2 linked regions of the Notamacropus eugenii genome follow. The protein of the gene in region 1 interacts with the protein of each later gene in a pairwise test. Links are inferred from orthologs where the notes say so. Each region holds a gene or a part of one and is shown in the gene's direction. Other genes may lie near its edges.

What was found.
Region 2: the proteins of DHPS (region 1) and EIF5A2 interact in binary tests that used the Homo sapiens proteins (3 or more experiments, as listed by UniProt). The two-hybrid records come from large-scale screens. The link is inferred for Notamacropus eugenii from reciprocal best matches to the Homo sapiens genes DHPS and EIF5A2.

The regions. Positions count from the first base shown.
Region 1 is NC_092875.1:78,235,870-78,239,612, forward strand, and holds the start of DHPS (deoxyhypusine synthase), read left to right. Parts: upstream 1-1,550; 5' UTR 1,551-1,713; coding exon 1,714-1,944; intron 1,945-3,627; coding exon 3,628-3,743. UniProt on the Homo sapiens protein: Catalyzes the NAD-dependent oxidative cleavage of spermidine and the subsequent transfer of the butylamine moiety of spermidine to the epsilon-amino group of a critical lysine residue of the eIF-5A precursor protein to form the intermediate deoxyhypusine residue.
Region 2 is NC_092877.1:353,271,667-353,275,409, forward strand, and holds the start of EIF5A2 (eukaryotic translation initiation factor 5A-2), read left to right. Parts: upstream 1-1,484; 5' UTR 1,485-1,569; coding exon 1,570-1,618; intron 1,619-1,681; exon of another isoform or gene 1,682-1,741; intron 1,742-1,960; coding exon 1,961-2,160; intron 2,161-3,216; coding exon 3,217-3,321; intron 3,322-3,743. UniProt on the Homo sapiens protein: Translation factor that promotes translation elongation and termination, particularly upon ribosome stalling at specific amino acid sequence contexts.

The DNA.
Region 1 (3,743 bases):
GTGATCCTTTCAACCCTAAAGAACTTTTCTATTCCTAGTATCCAAGTTGACGTTCACCCTCAAAGCCACCTTGTAGTCCTTAATTCCTGTCTTAGTCCACATAGCCCATCAATGATTGTCTTCTTTCTACTTCTCACAACAATCCCTTTATCTCCATTCACCCTTGCAGGGGCTTTTCTACCTCTCACCCAGACTTTTATCAATAGCTTAACTGGCCTCCCTGCCTTACATCTGTCTTCTACATAACTGCCAAAGTGATTTTCTCAGAGCACAAGTCAAACCATGCCATTCTTTTTTCAATAAATTCCAGTGGCTCCCTGTTGGACCACATGTCCAAAGATTATGTTTTTTAAATGTATATTTTTGTATAAGTTTTATTATGCATATGTTATCACAGTGGTAGGGGTATAGGGACTGGTTTCCATTGTCATGGGGAATTTTGGGGTAAGGAAATTCCTTCCAGTGCAGGCTGACATGTTGGCAATTTGTAGCCTTATAGTGTCCTAAACTAGGGCACTCCAATATTATGTGACCTACCTATTAGGTAGGTAGACTCATAGCTGCCATGAGTCAGGACTTGAATGACTCTTATCTTCTATACCATTGTTTCAGTGGTGTACAACTGTTTGTGCTCCAATTTGGGATTTTCTTGGCAAAGCTACTGGAGTGGTTTTCCATTTCCTTCTCCAGCTCATTTTACAGATGAGGAAACTGAGGCAAACAGGGTTAAGTGACTTGCCCAGGGTTCCACAGCTAGTTGGTGTCTGAGGCTGGATTTGAACTCGTCTTCCTGACTCCAGGCCTGGTACTCTATCCACTGTGCCACCTAGCTGCCCTTACACATTATGCATCTCCATATAAATAAATTTATATAGAGAACAGGTTGGGACTATGTACTTAAACATTTTTAACTGGCAAGCTGCATGATATCAAAAGGTTTGGAGATCATTGGTCTAGTCCATGTGTCCAAACATTGTTGACTGATGAGGTGTGTGATATAACCAAGTTTTGGAGACCGCTGATGTAGTGTCTAAGGGGAAAAGATCGGAGTCTGGAGGCAGGGGCCAGGCACCTGGACAGGTCCACTAAGCTCTCTCGGCCCCAGTTCCTTCCTAGGGGCCTTCCCTCCTTTTTCTTTACTGCATGTTATTCCAGGTGGCACACCGGATAGCGCAGCAGACCCAGGATCAGGAGCGAGCCTGCGCGGCCGGGCTGCACTTCCCACCCGCCCGCTGTCCTAGCTCCCGCTTTGCGGACTGGTCTGTGAAATGGCCACACTGGCCTACAAGGCGGATCGCCCACGTGACGTCCGCCTTCCGGGCCAGGATTTCGCAGAGAGGGGCTGAGTCTTGTCCAAGTTTGTTCTGCTCCAGAGCTGTGAGGAGGCACGTCGTGCATCTTCTGGGCACGGTGCAGAGAGGCAAAGGGGCGTCCGCCTGCGGCCTGGGACCGGAGACTCTGCGGCCGACCGACAGGGGGCGGCAGAGCGCTGGCCAAACTCGCGAGCCTGGCGGCCTCCGTAGAAGAAAGGAGACAGGGGGAAAAAGGGCAGCTGGGCCCCCGTCGCCACGTGACCGGCAACACTTCCGGTCCTTCCCCGTCTCTCTTCCCCCGCCTCACTTCCTCGGCTAGCCGGGATCGCGCGGAGCCCCCGGTGAGCCGAGGACGGGCCGGGTGGCCTGACCCTGACTTCCAGCCTCCCCCAGAGGGCGCATGGAGGGCTCCCCGGAGGAGGAGGGAGGGGACAGGCCCGGGCCGCGACCGCCCCCGGGAGCTGTGGACGCCGTCCTCAGGCACAGCTCGACGCTGCCCGCGGAGGCCGTCCAGGTACGGGGCTACGACTTCAACCGCGGCCTGGACTATGGCGCTCTCCTACGAGCCTTCGCCACCACCGGCTTCCAGGCCACCAGCTTCGGCCGCGCCGTGCAGCAGGTCAACGCCATGGTGAGGGGGCGGGGCTGGGGAGGTGGGGCAGGTCGGAGCCCTGCTAAGGGAGGCGGGGCTAGGGCAGAAGAGGAGGTCAAAGCGGGTGGGAGCGGGGCTGGGGAGAGCAGGTCCCAGGCATGGGGCGGGGGAGGAGGCGGGGTTGGGGAGAGCTGGTCCCAGGCTTGGGGAGGGGGAGGAGGCGGGGATGGGGAGAGCTGGTCCCAGGCTTGGGGAGGGGGAGGAGGCGGGGATGGGGAGAGCAGGTCCCAGGCTTGGGGAGGGGGAGGAGGCGGGGCTGCGGAGAGCTGGTCCCAGGCTTGGGGAGGGGAGGAGGCGGGGCTGGGGAGAGCTGGTCCCAGGCTTGGGGAGGGGAGGAGGCGGGGCTGGGGAGAGCAGGTCCCAGGCATGGGGAGGGGAGGAGGCGGGGCTGGGGAGAGCTGGTCCCAGGCTTGGGGAGGGGGAGGAGGCGGGGATGGGGAGAGCAGGTCCCAGGCTTGGGGAGGGGGAGGAGGCGGGGCTGGGGAGAGCAGGTCCCAGGCTTGGGGAGGGGGAGGAGGCGGGGCTGGGGAGAGCTGGTCCCAGGCTTGGGGAGGGGGAGGAGGCGGGGCTGGGGAGAGCAGGTCTCAGGCTTGGGGAGGAGAGGAGGCGGGGCTGGGGAGAGCTGGTCCCAGGCATGGGGAGGGGAGGAGGCGGGGCTGGGGAGAGCAGGTCTCAGGCTTGGGGAGGGGAGGAGGCGGGGCTGGGGAGAGCAGGTCCCAGGCATGGGGCGGGGGAGGAGGAGGGGCTGGGGAGAGCTGGTCCCAGGCTTGGGGAGGGGGAGGAGGCGGGGCTGGGGAGAGCTGGTCCCAGGCTTGGGGAGGGGGAGGAGGCGGGGCTGGGGAGAGCTGGTCCCAGGCTTGGGGAGGGGAGGAGGCGGGGCTGGGGAGAGCAGGTCCCAGGCATGGGGAGGGGGAGGAGGCGGGGCTGGGGAGAGCAGGTCTCAGGCTTGGGGAGGGGAGGAGGCGGGGCTGGGGAGAGCAGGTCTCAGGCTTGGGGAGGGGAGGAGGCGGGGCTGGGGAGAGCAGGTCTCAGGCTTGGGGAGGGGAGGAGGCGGGGCTGGGGCAGACGAGTAGGTCAAGGTGGGGGCCCTAGAAAGAGAGGAGGATAAGGCAGGACGGGTCAATGCCAAGGGGTTTGGGAGAGGAGTGAGTGAGGGAAGAGCGATAAGGGAGGGCCGGCGCTGGGGGAGCCAGCCTCAGACTTTGATGTCTGTGGGTCCGAGGTGAGGACCTGGGAAGAGAGCACGACCCAACCCAGGGGTAAAGGGGCATTACAGATTTAGGGAGATTGCTGCCAGGGCGAGGCCTAAGGGGGCAGCGGGACGCTGAGGAGACCGTCAAAGCACGAGAGAAGCTGTCGGCAGCAAGGGCCCTGCGTCAGTGCCACCTTGGGTGGTGAACAAGTATTGAGATGCTAAAAAAAAAGATGCTGTAGTGTGTCACTGTGTGCACCTCTGCCCAGTTGGAATCTAAGGGATCCAGTCAGGAAACAAATTCAAGTTCCCCTTCGTAACCTTAGGCTGGTCTTTTATCTTCACTAGGCTTCAGTTTCTGAGTCTCTTGAACGATTCAGGAACTATAATCTTTGAGTGGGCCCTGTGTCCCAGCAAGCCCAGGTTTTAGGTTTGGAGAGAGATCACTGTCACTCCACCTTCTCTCCCAGATTGAGAAGAAGCTGGAACCTCTTGGGGGGGAGGAGGAAGACCACACAGATCTGAACCCAAGCCGTCGGTCAGTGAGTGGCTGCACCATCTTCTTGGGCTACACGTCAAATCTCAT
Region 2 (3,743 bases), on another chromosome or scaffold:
AAAGGCAAGGAGGAAACGTCAGAGACGGAATGCCAGGTGGGGGAGGGGCGTGAAGAACATAGCTAGATATTGATGTATTAACTATGTGCCAAGCCTTTTGCTAAATGCTGGGGATATAAATACACACAAGCAGGTCAGTCAGAGTTCCCTTAGGTGAGCGCCTTCTTTATGAGATTCCCTCCAAAGTATCTTGCATGGATCTTGCACACAAAGTTACTTGTGAGATGTCGCCCCACCACACCCCATTGAACTGTTAACTCTTTGAGATCAGGGATGAGTCGTGCCTTTCTTTGTAGCCTCAACTCTTATACTGTGCCTGGCAGATACTAAGAGCTGGGTAACACATGGAGCTTATGTCCTAACGGGGAATGACAATGCCTCACTGGGAACTAGAAGGTGATGGAGAAGATACTGCTGGGGGCCATGCCACAGGAAACGATTGCTAATCATCTACAGGCAACTATGTTAAGCACCGGGGATCGATCCGAAGGAAGGCAGAATTTTACAGTTCCTGCCCTCAAGGGGTTCCCAATCTAGTGAGGAAGACAGTATGCCAACAAATAAGGGTAAAATAAACTGGTGGTCATCTACAGAAGGAACGAGCTAGCCATGGGGGATTGGAAAAAGAAGGATTTTAGTTGGAACCAGAAACGTCGAGGAGGAAGGAGGAGAAGGGGAAAGGAGGGGGTGGTGGTGGTGGAGGTAGGAGGGTCAGGCAGCGGGAGGGCTTTTGAAAACAGCCGAGAGGCTGGCATCGGGGGTCTCCAGGTACAAGGTAAGGTGTGACAGACTGAGGGAGGGGCCAGGCTGTGGCAGGCTCTCGATTGGGGCCCCTAGAGGTTACTGAGTGGCGGGGACGAGGGGGGCGCCAGGTGCGCTTTAGGAGGATCGCTCCTCTGGACTAGTGGGGAGAGTCTGGAGGCAGGGAGGCCGAGCGGGCCGAAGGCCACGGCGGGGAGTCACAGAGCGGGGGTTTCCTTAGGTGGGACAAGAGGCCGTTTTGGGAGGGAGGCCATCTCCCAGGCGGCAGGACACGCTGTCTGCAGAGAGGGAGACCAGTGCACGCCGCTGCCATGGCAACAGGCGCTCCGCCCCCTCCCGACCCCCCGCCGCGCATCGTCACGTGCCGCGAACCCTACCCCCTCCGGGGGGCGTGGCTTCTTCGAGGAATAGTTGACAGACCAGGATGGCGGAGCCAACTGAGAGGAGAGCTCATGGCTCGGGATCTCGATGGAGTCGGGTGGGTCCCGCCTAGGAAGTCACCTGAGCCTGCGGGGGCCGCCTGTGTAAGGCCCCCAGACTGGAAATGGGCTGTTTGAAGGCACGTGGGGTTGCCAAGCTTTCTTCACGTGACTGGGCGGGGCTGGAGTCTCCTCAGCCAATGGTGGCCTAAGAGGGCGGTGCCTTCGACGCGCCAAGGACCTATCAGGGAAAGGGGGAGTGATGTGCGGGCGGGGGAGTAGAAGAGAGGGCTGGCTTGGGGGGAGGGGGCGGGGAAAGTGCTTGCCGGGCCCCGCCCCGTCTGCTGAAGCCTCCTCGCATCCGCGGCCGCCGCTGCCGCCGCAGTGGATGATCAGGCTCCTTGAGCGCGGGCAGAGCCTCCGCCGCTGGCTGGAAGGTGAGCGCCGGGAGTTCGGCGGGGACTCGGGCGGGGGGCGCTGACGGAGCATCTCGGGGCAGGGGAGGGTCCCTGCGGCGCGCGCCCCCCGGGGCCGGGACCAGGACCGGAGCCTCGCGCCAGGTAGCGGCGGGGGAGTGGGGAGCGACGCGCGCTCCAGGGCCGGCGTATCGGGGGCATGCGCGTCCCCGCGAGGGGGGGAGGGGAGCGGCGCGCGCCCCGGGCGGGGGGGAGGGGGCAGGTGGGCGCAGGTGGAGCCCGGGGCGGGGAGGCCGGTCACGATTCTCACGATGGGAAAGTTTCCGAGCGGAGCCCCCCCCAGCGCCCCTCCCCCCTGCCCAGATCCCGCCGCAGGAGGACCACCGCCCCGACCCGCCATGGCCGACGAGATCGACTTCACCACCGGAGACGCCGGGGCTTCCAGCACGTATCCGATGCAGTGCTCGGCCCTGCGCAAGAACGGCTTCGTGGTGCTCAAGGGCCGGCCCTGCAAGATCGTGGAAATGTCCACTTCGAAGACGGGCAAGCACGGCCACGCCAAGGTGACCGCGCCCGCCCGCCGCCCGGCCCAGCCCGGGCCGCCCCCTCCTCCCCAGCCGGGCCTCCCGGAACCCCGCCTGCCCGCGGAGCCGGAGGGTCCGTGAGGTTGGGACCCACGTGCGGCAATGCCAGTCCTTGAGACCGGGCTGCTGCGGGCATGCCGCTGGTAGTTCGCTGGAGTTAGGAACCTGCGCTCACACCCTGGCGTGGACCATGGCGATGCTTGGTTAAGCGGCTGCTCTATTTCAGGCTGTGCTAAGCCCTGGTGGGGATACAAAGAAAGGAAAAAACAGCCCCTGCCCTCCGAGAGCAGTGTGCAGACCACTCTGCACAAACAGGAATGCTATCTGTATGAGCTCAGGCAAGCGGCTTTTACTTACCCGGGCCTCTGTTCTTCATCTCTGAAAGGAGGGTCTCCCAGTACCCTTTCGGCTCTAGATCTGGGACCCTCATTGGTCTCCCTGCCCCCCAGAAAGTCATCTTCCTGAATCCTAAGTCTGACCTTGTTACTTCCTACTTAGTGTAAGCACCAAGGCTGCCCTTCACCTTGTGAGGACCTGATGCCCACCGGCCCTTTGAGCTTTCTCATGGGTGACTCTTTGCAGCACTCCTGAGATCTACCCTAGTGGGCTTTCCTGCTGCGCTTCTCCTGATAGTCCCTGTCCCTGCCCTTTGCACACTCTGCCCCCCTGCCTCCTTGACCACTTTTATCTCCTCCTTCACCATCTTTGAAGCTTCACAGCTCAGCTCAGAGGCCTTCTTTTATCCCACATCCCTACCCCCCATCTGCCAGTGCCGGTTCTCCAAGATTAACTTGTATTTCTTTTGTATTTACTGTATCCTCTGATGGAACATAAAACTCCTTGAGTGCCAGGACAGTTGCATTTTTGTGATAGTATCTAATGTGCCCGTGTTGGGGGGTGGGGTCTCATTTTTTTCTTAAAGATAACATTTTGTTTTTGAGAGACGAAAATCTCAAACAGAATTGATATTTTGCTCTTAAAGTAATTTAGGTATTGGACTGGACAAAAATTTAACACGCTTACTTTATGCATTAGGTTCACTTGGTTGGAATTGATATTTTTACGGGCAAAAAGTACGAAGATATTTGCCCTTCCACTCACAACATGGATGTTCCAAATATCAAGAGAAATGATTATCAAGTAAGTAATTTCCTCTCAATAGATTTTTTCCCTTTATTACACACATGGTTTGTTACAAGTTGTATAAGCCAGAGTGCTTTTATTCATCTCTTGCTTCTAAATAAGAAGAAGGAAATATAAGGAAAATATTCATTGTAGATACTGGAAGGAGAGAGAGTGATTTTCATATTTCTGCAGTAGAGTTAATGGTGACATTTTTAAAATTACTTTCACTTTGTAAAAATGTGAATTGTCATTTTAAAACATTAGTAAGGTACAGAACAAGTGATGATGATTGCTCTTGAAATGGTTTGTTGAAGTGTGTGGGTCCAAAGTTCCATAAAGTTAATGAAACCACTACTTTGTGCTTGCTACAAAACCTCCAGATTTCATAGGACAAGGTACCTCCACTGCACTTGAGAAGCTTTATTTTTGATCTGGTT